Linked DNA regions of Caenorhabditis elegans. The protein of the gene in region 3 interacts with the protein of the main gene of each other region in a pairwise test. Each region holds a gene or a part of one and is shown on either strand. Other genes may lie near its edges.

Evidence for each region. The genes of interacting proteins can lie anywhere in the genome.
Region 1: the proteins of mpz-6 (region 3) and F52C6.3 interact in a two-hybrid assay, tested with the Caenorhabditis elegans proteins (one large-scale study listed by BioGRID).
Region 2: the proteins of mpz-6 (region 3) and appg-2 interact in a two-hybrid assay, tested with the Caenorhabditis elegans proteins (one large-scale study listed by BioGRID).

What each region holds. Positions count from the first base shown.
Region 1 is NC_003280.10:1,922,703-1,927,164, forward strand, and holds F52C6.3 (Ubiquitin-like domain-containing protein), read left to right. Parts: upstream 1-2,056; 5' UTR 2,057-2,064; coding exon 2,065-2,176; intron 2,177-2,224; coding exon 2,225-2,551; intron 2,552-2,602; coding exon 2,603-2,757; 3' UTR 2,758-3,018; downstream 3,019-4,462. Other genes in the region: bath-2 (BTB domain-containing protein), read right to left, coding at 1-42; F52C6.4 (Ubiquitin-like domain-containing protein), read left to right, coding at 445-556, 611-801; F52C6.2 (Ubiquitin-like domain-containing protein), read left to right, coding at 3,768-3,879, 3,932-4,234, 4,289-4,462.
Region 2 is NC_003280.10:8,798,716-8,806,333, reverse strand, and holds appg-2 (Activated in Blocked Unfolded protein response), read right to left. Parts: upstream 5,205-7,618; 5' UTR 5,133-5,204; coding exon 5,070-5,132; intron 4,367-5,069; coding exon 4,220-4,366; intron 4,174-4,219; coding exon 4,003-4,173; intron 3,955-4,002; coding exon 3,772-3,954; intron 3,725-3,771; coding exon 2,501-3,724; intron 2,391-2,500; coding exon 2,085-2,390; intron 2,042-2,084; coding exon 1,916-2,041; intron 1,844-1,915; coding exon 1,556-1,843; 3' UTR 1,445-1,555; downstream 1-1,444. Other genes in the region: pho-13 (intestinal acid PHOsphatase), read left to right, coding at 1-23, 403-706, 750-925, 1,023-1,163, 1,210-1,434.
Region 3 is NC_003280.10:9,404,369-9,409,949, forward strand, and holds mpz-6 (PDZ domain-containing protein), read right to left. Parts: upstream 2,753-5,581; 5' UTR 2,710-2,752; intron 2,609-2,709; coding exon 2,510-2,608; intron 2,250-2,509; coding exon 2,169-2,249; intron 2,112-2,168; coding exon 1,917-2,111; intron 1,874-1,916; coding exon 1,739-1,873; intron 1,691-1,738; coding exon 1,490-1,690; intron 1,418-1,489; coding exon 1,232-1,417; 3' UTR 1,166-1,231; downstream 1-1,165. Other genes in the region: Y51B9A.5 (Ovule protein), read left to right, coding at 114-323; arrd-2 (Arrestin C-terminal-like domain-containing protein), read left to right, coding at 3,486-3,707, 3,757-4,032, 4,085-4,591; M176.9 (Tyrosine-protein kinase), read right to left, coding at 4,975-5,338, 5,384-5,560.

The DNA.
Region 1 (4,462 bases), 7.5 Mb from region 3:
GAAAACATGGGAGAGCTCAAATTCTCTTTTGACAGCGACCATTTCCCAATGTGCCGCTGAAAATAATTATTTTTGAATTTTCTGCAAAAAATACGATGAACTACGTTTAAATGCGAAGAAAAAACAACAACAAAACCCCAAAAAACTAATTGCGCGTCAATTAATGTGCATTGTGTGCAATGTGAACTTTTTCGCTTACCGTAGTTTGGAAATTTTTGTTCTTCGATTTATTGATTTTTTCGAAACTCTTGCCCATATTTACTTGTTTTTTCTCATTTTTTATCGAAATTTAAATGAAACAAATTAGTTTAAGTGCTATATTTTTTTTATTCAACAGAATAAGTTCAAAACTTCCCGAAGATCAAATTTCTGTGGATTGTTACTCTTTTTTCACTGTTTTTTGTTGCAATACTCTCAATAAATTCAACTTTTCCAGCTAAAACCATGCTGCTCTCCGTCAAAACGTCGACTGGAAAAACCATCACAGTGGAGGCGCCGAAAAATGTGAAAACTGAAGTTCGCGACAAACAGGGAGTCGTTTTCACAGTCTCTTACGGTATTTATCGATTTTTTTTTTGGTTTTTATTTCAATATATGTTTATTTTTTCAGGAGAAGTAACCGGAGATCCAATCACTGTTGAAGCATCGGACGCCATCAAGGATCTTAATTTCAAGGTTGCCGAGGCTCAGCGAAAACCGCATCGTGAAGGAATGCGAATTTACGTTAAAACTTGTGAAAAAACGATCACTCTTGACACTGCTGCCTCCGATACCATTGCAAGTGTTAAGGCTAAAATCTAGGAAAAACGAGGTTTTCCATCAAATCTGCAGAAACTATATTTGGGTTAGTACTTTGAAACTGATAGCTTGTCTAATTTCTTTAGTTTTTACAGAACCTTCCAACATTGTTTTGTGCAAGGATCAACGTACTATTTCTGACTACAACATCAAAAACGGCAGTACTCTCCGTTTGGAAGTTCCTGTAAAAGAAAAACTGACGGTTTCTGTGAAAACCTTATTCGGAAAGACGATTCCTATTTCAATCAAGAATACGGATACTGTTGAGACATTGAAGTTCAAGGTTCAGAATAAACACGGTGTTCCACCAGATCAGCAGCGTCTCATTTTCGGTCGGGCACAGCTCGAGAATGACCGTGCTCTGTTCGCCTATAACATTCGTGATGAGGATATTATCCATTTAGTCTCCAGACATCGGTTGTGAAGTTCTCAATTTGATTGCTCTTAATCTGTTGTTTTGTTACTTTTTTGTTTTTTATTGTTGATAAATGTTGAAGGTTTTTTTTTTAATTTTTAAATTAAAAACACTGTCTCAAAATATTACAGGTACCATATTTATGATATATGAGGGTTTTTTTCCAGTAAATTCTTCTGTGTTCTGAATTTCCGACTTAAACATTTTATTTCGATGGTTCAGAAAATTGGTTTTTCAGGTTTTTGGATACTTCAGGCTGATATTTTGAAATACTCGAATTTAATTCAATTTAGCATTATTCAACCCGCTAGAATTTCTGTTGGCACATGTTTCTTCAATTAGAATTTCTATTATTTAAAAAACCACAAAGAATTTAATAAAAAATCAGCGAAACTACGGTAGACGAGGAAGTAGGCAGTTGCACACGATACACATTAAATAATTGACTTTTCCGTTTTTCTTGATTCAGTACTCGAAATGTTTTCATCGAAAACTTAGAAAAAAGTTTTTTAATATAAATGAAATTTCAATAAAATTTGCGCGTCAATTAAAGTGTTCTTTGTGCATTGTGAACTTTTTTTGCTTACCGTAGTTTTGCAATATTTGTTTTTCGATTTATTGACTTTTTCAACGCAATTCTTCTTTATAGCTTGCTTTTTGCCCGTAATTCATCAAAATCTTGATAATAATATTTATTAATTCATTCTATTCATATTTTTAAGAAAAATCATTTCGAAATTATCCAAAAACCAGATTTCTCCCTTGTTTGCTTCTTTTTTCACCGTTGTCCTCGTTTTTCTGTTGCAAAACTCTCAATAATATTTAATTTATAAATTTTTCCAGCTAAAATCATGCTGCTCTCCATCAAAACGTCGACTGGAAAAAACATCACAGTGGAAGCGCCGAAAAGTGTGAAAACTGAAGTTCGCGACAAACAGGGAGTCGTTTTCACTGTCTCTTACGGTATTTATTGTTTTTTTCTGGGTTTTGCATTAAAAAAATCATTTTCAGACAAAGGTACCGGAAATCAAATCATTGAAATGGAGGACACTGTCCAAGATGTCAAAATTCAAGAGGCTCAGCAAGCACCGCTTCGTGAATCAGAAGAAGTGACCGAAGATCCCATCAGTGTCGAATCATCGGAGGTCATCGGAAATCTGAATGTCAAGGTTGCCGAGACTCAGCAAGAACTGCATCATGAAGGAATCCGAATTTACGTTGAGAACGCTGGAAGAACATGCACACTTGACACTTCCGCCTCCGATACCATGGCAAGTGTCAAGGCTAAAATTTGGGAAAAACTAAGAATCCTCCCAAATACGCAAAAACTATTATTGGGTTTGTACTTTAAATATTGAAAGATATGTCTAATTTCTTTAATTTTTACAGAAAACTGGGACCTAGATTTGTTTAGCGATCATAGCACTCTTTTTGACAACAGTTTCGAAAACGGCAGTACTCTTCGTTTGGAAGTTTCTATAGAAAAAGAAATTGACGTTTTTGTGAAAACCTATACCGGAAAGACAATCACCATTTCAATCTAGAATACGGATACTGTTGAGACCTTGAAGCTCAAGATTCAGGATAAGGAAGGTATTCCACCAGATCAACAGCGTCTTATTTATCAAGGATCGCAGCTCGAGGATGACCGTACTTTGATTGCCTATAACATCTATAATGAGGCTACTCTCCGTTTAATTCTCAGACTTCGTGGATGAAGTTCTCAATTTGAATATTGTTAATTTGTTACTTGTTATTTTGTTACTGTTCTGTTTATTTTTGTTGATGAATGTTGAAAAAGTTTAGATTTTTTTGAAATTAAAAATATGGTTTTTAAACAGCCGGTATATTTCTTTGTGTTCTGAATTTCCAACGTAAAGAATCTTTTTCAGTGATTCAGAAAGTGTGCTTTTCAGGTTTTTCGTTAATTTCTGTATTTCTCTATCATAGAATACATTTCAACTCACAAGAATTTTCGTTAAAAACCACAAAAAAATTAATAAAAAATCGGCAAAACTATGGTAGACGAGAAAGTACGCTGTTGCGCACAATGCATGTTAATTGACGCGCAAACAGTTTTTTGTAATATTTTTTTCCTGTTTTGCTTGATTCAGTACTTGAAATGTTTCTTTTCAAATATTATAATAGTTTTTTTTAAAATTTTCTGCAAAAAATGCTGAAATTCTAATAAAACCAAAAAAAAACTCAAAAAACGGCATGCGCGTCAATTCATGCGCATTGTGTTCATTGTGAACTTTTACGCTTACCGTAGTTTGTCGAGATTTGTTTTTCGATTTATTGATTTTTTCGAAACTCTTGCCCATATTAACTTGCTCTTTCTCGCTATTTATCGAAATTTGAATGAAAAAAATTAATTTAGGTGCATTATCATTTTTTATTTAACAAAATAAGTTCAACAACTACTGAAAATCCAATTTCTGTCGATTGTTATTCTTTTTTCACTATTTTTGTCAAATTAAAAAGTTCTTTCTGCGTCTTTTTTGTTTAAATGCTCTCAATTAGGTTTAATCTATCAACTTTTTCAGATAAAATCATGCTGCTCTCCATCAAAACGTCGACTGGAAAGACCATCACAGTGGAAGCGCCGAAAAGTGTGAAAACTGAAGTTCGCTACAAACAGGGAGTCGTTTTTGCAGTCTCTTACGGTATTTATCGTTTTTTTTTCCTGGTTTTTGCATTAAAAATAATAATTTTCAGACAAAGATGCCGGAAATCAAATCATTGAAATGGAGGACACTGTCCAAGATGTCAAAATTCAAGAGGCTCAGCAAGCACCGCTTCGTGAATCAGAAGAAGTGACCGGAGATCCCATCAAAGTCGAAGCATCGGACACCAACAGAAATGAAGAAAACCCCGATTTGGCTGGGCCACCCGCGGAGCCAGTTATTCGTGGCACTGCCGCCTCCGGTAGAATTGTAAATGTTAGGCTTGCGGGAAAAAGAATCGTCCAACCGAATAGGCGTTTCACATCATATTTGCCTTCGTCCGCCGTGAGACGTGGTTGGTTTTACAATTGATTATTTGTCTAATTTACCCATAATATTTTTTTTTCAGTAGCATCGCCCTATCAGATTCGGCGGGTTTCAGTCGATGGAAATTTCAACGTTTTTGTGAAAAACTCAACCGGAGGAAAGACTACCGCTGTTTCAATCAAGAATACGGATACAATTGGTACCTTGAAGCTCAAGGTTCAGGAGAAGGAAGGCATTCCACCAAATCAGCAGCGTC
Region 2 (7,618 bases), 610 kb from region 3:
CCGTTGATTATGACAGTGATCATGTGAGATTTTGGGCTATTTGAATCAATAAAAAATTGGAGAATAAAGGTGAAGTATAGAAAGTATTTTACATCGCTCCACGCAATAATGCCCAAATATCGTAGTCAGGCTATCTTAATTTTGGAAGTGAATAAAACACATTTCTAAAAGTTTTATTTTTTAATTGCGTTTCAATTATTTGTATTCAAACTTTCTAGGGAATCTAACCTACAACAATGCTCGGAATTACTCAAAAAATCCGTACTGTTGGAAAATTTGGCAATTTACCAAAACTTTGAATTGGTGTGTCTTATTATGAAATTTCGACATATTAGACTATTGTACTATTTAGACTAGATCGGAAACTTTAAAACTATATTTAATCAGAAGCAGTTGTTTTAGATTGGAAATATGGACTGCATCTGCCCACGTCGTGAATGGCTCTGGAATATTGCTCAACAATCGGACGAAATGAAGAACTGGAGAAGCTCAGTACCAGTTTCATCAGTAATCGACAAACTAACGTCACTGGTTAATCAAACATGGAGTCTAGAAGATTTCTGGACTGTCCCGGATGCCTTATTCATTGAACAAATATATTTTAATGAATCACTTCGAAAAGAGAATACATGGTTCAATGATGATTTTTATAGTCAAATTGTGGCAGTAAATGATCAAATTTATATGTATCAATACGGAGTATTCAGTACGTTGTTTTTCTAAGAACATTGTATGTAATAATTTTTCAGATAGTACTATTAATATGAACAACATGAATATTGGCCTTGAGCTTCTGAAAGTACGATCCGGACCTCTTATGAATGATATGATGGATAGAATTAATAAGAAAAGTGATTGTACATATGGAAAAAATACACAAGGGTGTGATTGGATAAATGGACTCAAGTACTTCGTTTATTCAGCTGTGGGTTTTTTGGTAGTAACCTTAAGAAGCTTCTGGAAATTTTTTAGTTGTACATGTTATTCACAATTGAATTATTACATTAAACATTTTTTTTCAGCACGATGAGACCGTATACGCAGTGCTAGTAGCTCTTGGCATCGAACGATTTGCTATTAAACCTCACGGATATCCACTTTATTCCGCTGCCGTATCGGTTGAATATTGGAGAAATACTACTGATAACGCTGACTATTTTAAGGTAGGTTTGTTCGGTAAAGCAATATTGTAATATCTAAGTTTTGAAGCTGGTTTACCACAAACAATCTGGAGATGACTTTACTGTGATGACGAAGGAGATTACTGGATGTGGAGGAGATTACTGTTCAATGAATGTGTTGAATCAAATTGCAAACAATTTAAAACCAGATCAACCTATTGATCAATGGTGTCTCGTTACCGGATCCTCGAACTCTTCTTCACTTTTATTTTTGATTATATTCACTTTCATTTCAAAATATATTTTATTCTAGAACACTATATGATATTCATAAATATTTATTGATGTATGATAAATAAAATACACTTTTTTCGCTTTAAAATTAAAATTATGGCAATAATGTGCGTAGGTAGGTTGTTTCCTTTTGAATGGATCTATCGTCTTCTCTTTCTGCAGCATTGGTTATTTCCACAAAGTGAGAATCCAGTTGAACAATTGCATTGTGAACCACTCATTGCACATGGTTCGACTTGCAACGGGCAGTTCTGTTGACAGGCGTTCTGGCAAGCTGGCAGACAGAATTCAATTTGGGTCAGAAGTTGAGTTTTACATTGATCAACGCACTGATTAGCACATTGTGGAGCACATGTCACAGTTTCTTCCATTGGTTTTTTAAGAACAATTTCCAATTTGAAAGTTGGTTCTGCAGATTCCTTCACGATCTGAAAAAAAACAACGATATTTTAACAATTTGCCAAGCAGAACTCTATCAGCTGATATTTCAGTTACAGTACTTCAACGCAAGATGATCTACAACTGTCAGTACAAGCTGTGCTGCATTGTGGAACACTTTGGCTGTTCTGTTGAACACATGAAGTTTGGCAAGATTGGGTGCAAGCTGGCATACAGTTGTTGTCAGCCTAAAAATCTTCAGTTTTTGCAGAAAGTTCTAAATTTTCTGACCTGTGGAATTACAATTTCAAATTGATAATTTTGAATACACTTTGAATCACAGACAGGTTGACAAGCTGGAGCACACTGCTTGGAGCTCTGATCATTCATTGGGATCGTGAATGTGTATGTCTCCATACAAGATGGTTGGCAAGCTGGTTGACATTGTGGCTGGCAAGATGGCGTCGGGGGTGGAGTGGTCATTACTGGAAGTTTAAGAGTGAAGCTTATGCATTGTGGATCACAAGCTGGTTGGCATTGTGGAGCGCATGATGGGGCTGCAGTAGTCATTGGAATGGAGATAGTGTAGGTAGTTGCCTGAAAAGAAAAAAACTATGGTGGTTATTATAATTTTAATTTATGTTTATTTACAGTTCTAAACTTTTCCTGTTGTGTTGTTTTTTCTTCAAATTTTATATCATATTTACCTGCTGGACACACTCTTGAGTGCAAGCCGGTTGGCATTGTGGAACACAGGTCTTTGTGATTGGAACGGTTGTTTGAACAGTGATTTGTTGTACACAAAGAGGTTCGCAGGCCGGTTGACATGCTGATGGACAGCTATTTCCTTGATTCCCTTTGGAGTAACTTTGTTGTATAGTAACTTGGTATTGAGACTGAATGCAAGATTGCTCACAAGTTGGTTGACAAGCGGGAACACAATTATACTGACGTTGCTGTTTCTGTTGAGAATTCATTTGTTGTACTTGAATCTTGTAAGTTTGAATGCATTGTTGATCACATGATGGTTGGCATTGAGGAATACATTGTGGAGAAGAAGTTGAGGTTGAAGGGGTTTCATCAATCATATTAATTTGAACCGAGAAGTTTGGCTGAGCAGCTACACATTCCTGAGTACATGCTGGTTGGCATTGTGGAACACAAGAAGACTGTGGGATGTACTGTTGAGACAGTTGCTGAGGTTGTTGATAGCTGTTCTTGATCTTCAGCACAATTTGAGCAACAATACATTTAGTCTCACAAGCTGGCTGACACTCTGGGACGCATTGTTTTGGAAGCGAGATAGTTGTAGTAAAGGTGTCAGTACAAGATGGAAGACAAGCTGGCTGACACTGAGAAACGCAGTGAAGTGGGGCTGGAGTCGTCGTGTAAATAGCAACACATCCTGGATCACAAGCTGGTTGACAGATTGAGATGCACACTTTGGTTACTGGTGGAACTGTTGAAATGCCTGAAGACCCCGAAGAAAGATACTGATAAACACATTGTGGCTGGCAAGCTGGTTGACAGGCTGGAATGCATGTTTCAGGAGCACGAGTTGCTTGTGTTGCTTGAGAAGTTACGATCTGAATCTGAAGCTGTCTCTCTACACATTGTGGTTGACAAGCGGGTTGGCAGGCCGGGATACATGTTTCTGTCGTGGTAACTGCTTGAACACATTGTGGAGTGCACGCTGGTTGACAAGCCGGAATGCAGGAAGCTGTTGTTGGTTGAGCTGTAGTTTGAATAGAAACAGTGACCGATTGAATACATTGTGGAGAACAGGTTGGCTGACACTGGGAGGGACATTTCTGGGCAAGTGGCATCTTTTGAATAATCACTTCATACCGCTTCATGACATTAATACACTGAGCGTCACATGTTGGTTGGCAAGCAGAGACACATGATCTTGATGGGGCTAAGGTTGTGGTCTGAAAAATTGAATATTTTTTTGGTTGTGAAAATTGGTCGTTCAGACCGAAGTACGCATGAATTCTTTGACATTTATAGATACAGCAGCTTGAACGCATGTTGGTTGGCAAGATTTGATGCACATATCAATGCAATAAGATTTATTTGGCTGAGCTGTGCAACTGTTGGCACATGATTGAGCACAGGCTTGTGGGCATTGAGAAGCCTTGGTTTGTTGGTTTACAACTACCTGTAATTATATTATTTTATTTGGGTTCAAAGAATGGTAAAGTAGTGCCTTAATTGGTGGAAAATTGGACGATGAGCTCGTTGATGTAGATGGAGTGCATGCCTTATTGCATGTAAATTGACATGTCTTATCACAAAGAAGCTGTGGCTGATGGGAGTTCCTTACACAAGAATCTACACAAGACTTTTGACATGATGGTTGGCATACCGATGTTTGAGCCTGAAATTTCAGACTTGTACTACAATTCCATTCCACAAAGACTTGCCTTATTGGCACAAGAACATCCGCTTGATTGTGGCTCATTTGAGCATTTGCATCGTTGCATTCCACTCCCAATCGGATAACAATTGCATTTCGATTTTTGTGACAGTTGCGCACACGGGCATTGTCGCTTGGCTCGTGTAATCAAGCTCTAAAATGTATGGGATATTAACATGAGTCAGACGTGATAATCAAGTGAGCGACAGGTCATTGTTTGTTGAATTTGCGACATGGCACCGGTTTATTTGTTCTTGTGTTATTTGTATGTGTGAATGTGGGAAAATGTCATAGAAAGGCGGAACCCTTCTCATGGACATGAAATATGATATGGTTCACTTGAGAATGGCGAGACTTGGAACACTTTGCCGAGACAGGTCATCAGTCGGTCAAAATACAAGATATTGCGAAGATCGAGAGATTATAAAGAGTCATGGATGTGCAATGAAAATACTGTAGGCGCGTAGTGTTTAGCTATAAATTGGGATGATCAGGGAAACTAACGTAATTATTTTTCAATTACTGTAAACTACTAATTACACAACTATAGAAAAATAATTGAAAAATTGCACATTTTTAACAAAAAATAAAGACAACCAAAATATGAGCTACATAATTTAAGCAAGGGATTGTAAAAGTTGAAAAAGGAAATACGGTGTTTCTGCATTGATTTTTACTGGAAAAATAAAAATTTACTAGAAAAATAAAAAAAAAACAGTGATATTGGGAGAAAATGTTTCATAGGAAGATTTTGGACTACGTTTTCAAAAGTTGAATAAGAGATTGTAGAATAAGGAAAATGGATGAGAGATATTAGAGGTATAATTTTATTTTATTTTTAATATATCAAAAATTACCTGTTCTGAATCCACAAGGTATGATCCAATAACTATAAGTAATAATATAATGTTCGTCTTCATATCGTTTATTCGTAGAACTCCTCTCGGCGGTACTGCTGGCCGACGACAGTGAGGGAGGTGCTCTTTTGGTGCTCCGCTTCCTTCCGCCACTGTCTTATATACGTCTGTCATGTTGCCGCGGCGGTAGCCATCAGGCGGCAAAAAATTGTAGGATGCTCCTCCTTTCCGTCTCGATGCACCAGGAAGGAATTTACAGGAAGAAGACGAAGAATGGAGGAGACGCAAAAAAACGGATCAACTTTTTGCATCGGATCGTCGTCCGAGGACCGACGGAAATTGACGACTAGATTTTGGATTTTTGGTGGATCCTTGACACGGCCTGAAAAAAGTGTCTAAAGTGCTCAATACGATGTTTGTACAGGGTGGGAATCTCTATGTATTTTGATCCATTCAAAAAGTTGTCTCAAGGGATGTACGCGTATTTAGACAGATCAAAAAGTTGCCGGTGGTCTTCATTGCCGGAATGAGGGATCTTAAAGTTTTCAGTATACATTTTATGTTCCAAGTGTTCGACAATTCTTCAGGGAAAAAACGTAGTTGATCATGTCTGAGCTTAAATCATTTGAATTTGTTTTTGGATTTAATTGAATATGTTTTTTTTTGTGAATATATTTACAATTCAAGTATCAGAAACTTTTCCAGTTACACAATTTCTTTGAATATTACAAAGTAACTATCAAATAAAACTTTATCACGGGAAACACTTGTAAGTAGTAAGGAACTTGAAATATTACTTAAATCCCGTTTTTCCAACTTGGTAATGTCTAAAAGTGTTTCTTCGTACCTTCATAATTCAACACCCTGCAGAAAAACAATATTTCTTTTGATGAAATTGCATATTGTTCATTTGATTTTTTCTCTTTCAAAAAATGCCAACCTATTCATTTTCAAAGTCCGTCACTTGCCATCAAACAAAAAAAAACAAGTCAAGTTGGTCATTGCCAAGATGCGCAAAAAGTGATCATTTGATGCTCAACAATGCGTAAGCATGTTCCACACATTTCTCGCCTCCACAATATGTTTCTTGCCGGGTTATTTGGTTATTTCGTTGCCTTCCGCAATTGTCCGAGAATGAGACTGTGTACGTTGCAAAACCGTAAATACACAACGCATTATCCCACCAGTGGTGCCTTCTTCTGATTTTTGACTGGCAGTGGAGCATGTGGGAGGATTAAATGTGAAACAAAACGGGAAGGTGATGATGATGCATTGCCGATAGACACGGAGAAGCTTCATTTCCTTTTTTAGGATTGCCATTCTTCTTTGTAATCAAGACAGTGGAGACGGAGAGAAAGTGAAGGAAGTTGAGAACATTTTGACCGATGACCGTTGTGATTGACAAGAAAAGGAGTACTCGTGTGATCTTTGTTTCCCGAGATTGACGGCTTCTCCTACACTCTTGTCTATTTTAGTGTAACTATCAAAATTTACTATTTTTACTGTAGTTTCTCTGTTACTCTTGCATCCGATTACTCAACTATTGCAACTCTTATCTCATTTATCTTTGGGTGATTCCCTTTTGACCTTCAAGCTTATTTCAGCTTCAAAAATAATTCAGGATTATTTTTGCCTCACTCTTTTTTGGAGCTGGTTCAATACATATTTAGAAAACTAAGCGTTCATAAAACTTAAATATTTGTATTGATTCTTGTCTATTTCAATTCAGAAAACGAAACAATTATCGTGAGAGAGTAGTATTTTGGTGTGCACCTATGATATTAATTATGTAGTGACGTGGTGCAGCTGGAAACATTGAAAATCTATACGTGCCAATTGCAAAAATAAAATGCACACTTGTAGATCCTCGATATCATTTTATGAACTTTTCACTAATAATTCACTCATGAATATTCCAAGATTTTGTTCATGTTCTAGACAGAAATAGTTCATTCAAAGTTTATTCATGGAAGACGAAAACTAAGAAATAAGTTCTATTTTTGAATATTACGTTATTCGATCAGTAATTCATACGAGCATTCCACATACCCATATCACCTGTTTCCGTCTCGAATTGTATTTTGATAAGCTTACAATTTAAAAAAAGAAATTTCAATTTTTTATTTTAATTTTTTATTTTTTATTAATTTGTAATTTTTTTTCAACATATATTGTGACGCTCGTGTTGTTGAAATACTCCAAATGCATATTCACTATTTATCCGGGATTTGTGTTCTATTCCTAAAATGCCACACATATCCTCCTAGACAGTCTAATGCTGGCTAGTAACATGACACCGTAATCTGACACCGTTTTATTTTCGAAAATGTGTTTCACTCTTTTGACCGTAACCCGGACAATTCCGGAAAATACTTTTCGGGTAGCAGCGTTGTTGTGATTTACGTGGGTTGCGCATCTAATTCATTGTTTACTTCTTGAAGATACACGTAACACGAAACTTGCTTCTTTTCCCTCATTTTTTGTTCATCTTATTTGCACGTGAACAATGGGTGAGTTGGAAATGTGTGAATGATTGTTTGAGCTCAAGA
Region 3 (5,581 bases):
TTTGAAGTGGTTAGTACTCCACGTTGTGGCCGTGGCGACGCTAGTTCGATTCCAGCAGCAGGCAACGTTTTGCACTTTCCGAAAAGTAACTTTTTAATATACAAACTTATCAGAAAACTGCTGAAGAATTCGCTCAAATGGCTATCATCAATCGTGCTTTTTCTGCTGAGTCAACTGAAGACCCACCACCACTGGCTCAGAAACGGTCCGAATCGACTTTAAAACCATTGAATGATGAATTGAAGTCGGTGCCACTGGTTAGAGCTTTCAATTCTGCTGAAAATCAACTGGATCCAAAGAATCAGAACGCTGCAAAGAAGTGAACAGTTATCAATGGGATACTTGATTTTTGAAAGTAATAAATTAGTAAAGTTAAATGTATTGCTCTCAATTTCAATAAACTTATCAATCAGTTCTGATACCCGACACAATTTTAGAGAACTCGTTTCTTGGGTTGTTTAGAAATATTTTACTCTCTGGCTTCACAGAATAATTTACTCTCCGGCTTCACAGTATATTTTACTCTCTGGCTTCACAGTATATTTTACTCTCTGGCTTCACAGAATAATTTACTCTCTGGCTTCACAGTAAATTTTACTCTCTGGCTTCACAGTATATTTTACTCTCTGGCTTCACAGAATAATTTACTCTCTGGCTTCACAGTATATTTTACTCATGGCTTCACAGAATAATTTACTCTCTGGCTTCACAGTATTTTACTCTCTGGCTTCACAGTATATTTTACTCTCTGGCTTCACAGAATAATTTACTCTCTGGCTTCACAGTATATTTTACTCTCTGGCTTCACAGAATAATTTACTCTCTGGCTTCACAGTATATTTTACTCTCTGGCTTCACAGAATAATTTACTCTCTGGCTTCATAGTATATTTTACTCTCTGGCTTCACAGTATATTTTACTCTCTGGCTTCACAGTACATTTTACTCTCTGGCTTCACAGAATAATTTACTCTCTGGCTTCACAGTATATTTTACTCTCTGGCTTCACAGTATATTTTACTCTCTGGCTTCACAGTATATTTTACTGTCATGTACATTTTCAGCCGTATCTTTAAGTGTGTATTATCAAATGAAAATGACAATTTATTGGCAAAATAGGTAGATTTTCAAAACTTTAAAAATTCATAAATCACTTCAAAGTAACTTTTTTCGAACAAATTTATTCCGAATATCTTCCTCAAGTTAAGATCCCAGACGTTTTGGAGTCATTTTCAGGGGCTTCGGAGACGGAATGTATGGGATACGAACTTCTGGGGCAGGCTCCGATGGCAAGGTGGCTGGAACTGGAGTTGGAGCTGGTGCAACGGCTGATTTGATAATACATGGAGGATTCGTGCACGGTTTCTTGTAGAAATCTTGTTTGTCTTCATAATTTCCAAAACATCAGAAGGAAGAAGCTGCAAAGAAGAAAATGAAAACATGTTTCTATATTTAAGTGAAGTGATAAAAGAAAATGGGTTTAAACTGACCACATCAAACTGCTTGTTGGCTTTTCCTTGGGGTGGTTTTGGAGGTGGAAGCATCACTGAATTTCCAGCTTTCTTCACTCCAACAGCAGTACTCTGTGCACCATCGGGAGGCAGTGGAGCAGGGCCGAGTGGATCAGTATTTGTGGATCTTTCCAATGTAAGACGTACCGTTTTTGTGTTGTTGACACTCGCATAGAGAAGCTGAAAGAGCGATAATAGTAGCCATTTGTGTTTCGGAAGATATCATACTTTTCTAGCAGAGTCACGATCAAGAACATAAATGTCATTAACTTTGACAAGAATATCTCCACCTTTGACATAGTGACACGCATTGGAAGCCGACTGAACCATTGAAATAGTTACAGTTTTTGGATCAACTGCCATCTGGAAACCATCTTTAAAAGTTTCAAGTGTCCCGATTACTGACTCTATGAATAATAATCCCTGTTGCAGCACCTCCACGATAAGTGAAAGTCAACTCAACCATCTGAGTATTTGGACGACGAGGTGGCAATGGTTTTTCAGTGACAAGGCAATGATCATCTCGCATGAACTCAATTGTCACTTTTCCAGGAAGTTTTGCACTGATTGCACGGATAAAGTCAGCAGTTGTCTTTATGTTCTGAACATTTGGATTAGTTGAAACGGAAGCGGAAACGGATCTTAAAATATTCCTTACGGTTTCTCCATTGACGTTCAAAATCTCATCACCAGCAAATAGAACACCCATCAATTGGCTACTCACGTCCACATATATGATCTCAAATGTGATTATTCAAGATCTCTTCGATTTTTGAATTGAAAATGAGTTTTTTAATAGCCCAAACTTCGTATTTATGAAAAATTAAGGAATTTTCGAATGTTAAACACATCAGGAATGCCGACAAAATTGTGCTCGTTTCAGCTCTTAGCGCGAGCCCTACGTTGAATACATTATTCAAAAAGAAATGTATTTCCATCTCAATAAATTATTTCAGAAACATTTCCCAACAAACAAAAACGAAATGAGCCCTCATTTACCTTCCCATTGACCACATCACATGCTACAACCACATTCTTCCGTTCGAATTGTACTTCTTCTTTTCCTTTTACATGAAAACTATTGTTGTTGGTTGTCATCTGTAAGAAGTTCATGTCAATGCAGTCCGCTTCTCTAGTAACTGGTAGAGTCACTATGCCCTCATTGTCAGACCCAACGCGCAATCTGAATGTTAACTTACTCCGAATGGATTGTTGCGGATACGAAAGAGCTATCGATAAGAAAATATTTAGAACTGAGTCAGTTTTTGTTTTCACTTTTTATTTTTCTGTAATTTTTTTCTGAATAAAACAAGTACAAACGATGTCACGTTGTTATATTAATTAAATTGATAAATTATTTATTATCAAAATATTATCAAATTTCGATGAGATCAATGGAATAGAACAATTCAATCATCGTTGTCTTCTGCTTTTGTCACTTTCTTTTGACCTCCTCTTACAAACTTTGAAAGTCTTGAACGAATTGTATTCAGATCTTTGCTGTATGTTGGGGCGCTGAAACCAATAAAAATTCGTTTATTTTCTCTTTATTTGAGCATTTCACCTATGAGCTGTACCTTCGGACTTTGTGCCACTATCAGATTCTTCAGTTTCAAATTGTAGGTGGGATATCAAGAAGACGTTGGAAACTTGATGGCATTGTTGGCATTTTGCTCTTTTATGCAGATCTTTTTGAAAATTGGAGATAAAAATCTGAAAATACGTTTTTCCATAACAAACACGACTTTTACACCGACACTGTTCTTCGTTGGTGCAGAAAAATTACAATATCGATTTGGAATTCTCATAAAAGAGCAGGTGGCAATCTACCACCTTTCTATATTGTCACATCACCTCCACACTCTCCGAGCAAGATGGGAAACTCCGCCCACAAACGCTGAAAGTTGATTACAACGACGTAGAATCTGTCTCATTCAGTCAGTCTTTTATTATCTCGATCTCTCCCTTTTGAATTATGTCTGTGAACATTGTTTTCTCCAATCCTTCCAAAACATACCTGCCTGGCGACTATGTCTCTGGAAAAGTGTTGCTCACAACAAAAGATCCAATTTCTGCACGATATATGGAAATCACGTGGAAAGGAGAATCAAAGTGTAATTTTGGAGGATCGGAGAGCTCAAATGTCCAACGCCATCTTGCCGGAACATTTATGGGATGGATTGCCAAAGATGGAGTTGTGAGTTTTTAATACTTAATAAATATATTTTCAAAATATTCCCATTCAGGACACAATCCCCGCTGGAACTCTCAAATCACGTTTCCGATTCCGACTTCCAGAAAATTCTCCGCCAAGTTTTTGCGGAATGTTTGGAGAAATTGAGTATTCTGTTACTGTGGAATTTGATCGTCCGTGGAGACTCAAGTTAAAAATGATGAATACATTCCGTGTGGTTCAGAAGACAAATCTGACACTTTCTGAGCCAAAAATGATGAAGTACGCGGAATTTGTCAAGTCGAAGAATTCTGGAACGATTTTCAAAGATGGATTGTTTTTGTTGAAGGTATTGTTCAATTTCAAAAGTAGAGTCAAAAAATTCACTCATTATATTTTAGCTTCACTTTTCCAAACGAGCATTCCTCGCAGGGGAGACAATCCGAGCACTTGCCATCATGGAGAATCATTCAACAAAACCAATCATTAATCTTCGTTTCGAGCTCATTCAACAATCCCATTACCACTCTCGCCCACAGAAATCATTGTGTTCTCTTAACGATTGTCACTCCGACTGCCCAATTGAATCCAAATATCGAAGAGATGGTGAAACAGTGCTCCGCGGAGCCAATTACAGTTGTGACGTCGCACCTGGTGAGGTGAAATATATCAATGTGGAGATTGATCTGCCAAATGGACTCCCGCCAACTTTCGAATCTCCAATGATCTCAATGGGATACCTGTTGGGATTTACCCTAAGAAATGGATCACTGACCGGGAATCGATTAGCATGTAATGCACGGATTGTGGTTGGAAGTGAGGAGACAATCGATGAAATGGTAGATGAATGTGAGCCGACAAAGAAGAGCCAATGCCTTACTGCATCACCACCACCATATCACCCATAAATTAATCAATGATCATATTCATTTGAATGTTTTAAAATAAAGTTTTTTTTTGAAAAAAGTTGTGTAAAACGGAATGTAGACGGAACCATATAAAAATAATTCAAATATTTAATTCAGAAAGGAAATCTGTATAATTTTTTCAGGAATAGCATTAATTGAAAAATCAATTCACAGAGAAATATGAACAAAAATAAATAAAAAAAAAAAACTTATAATGCAACTTATTTTATTCGGAAATGTACCCCAAATGTCGCCCCAATGAGAAAAATATGATACCAGCAAAGCTCGAATCTTGGATTTTTATTAAGATGTTTGTCTATTTTTTTTTTGAAAAAAAGCATATGCTCAATTTTTATTCAAGTAGAAAGAATCATAAAAACAGTTCACTCCTCTTTTGGCACTTCCTTCTTCTTCTTCGTCCTCTTGCTTCTCTGACTTTTTCTGCTTCTATCACTATTGTTTTTGAAAACTGCCAGAAGCCTATTTTTCGCTTTTCCCATCTGTAATGTCCCATCTTCACACATTCGAGCAAATCGTTCAAATTCTGCAACTGCCAATGGTATTGTGGCTCGACGAGATTCTTCGACAAAAATACAACTGCTCATGTACTCTTTTACTTCGTCTGGAGTCATTGATGGCATTGGATAGAAATTGTTAGCCATGATATCAGCCTTGATAGTTGCATTCGAGACACCTTCAAATGGTTCAGCACCGTCGACGAAGACTTCGTAGCAAGTGACTCCCCAGCTGGAAAGAACACTTGTCTATACCTCAATAGTTGATAAAACTAACCTATAAACATCAGTTGCATATGAGAAGCTCAGAGTAGCCAAGGTTTCAGGCGCGAGCCACTTTATAGGAATCTTACAAGATGTCTTTGTTGTATAAGATGGTCCAGCTCTAGATAATCCAAAATCGGTGATCTTGACCTCGTTCTCGTGAAGAAGACAATTTCTGGCGGCGATGTCCCTGAAAAGTTTTCAATCGATT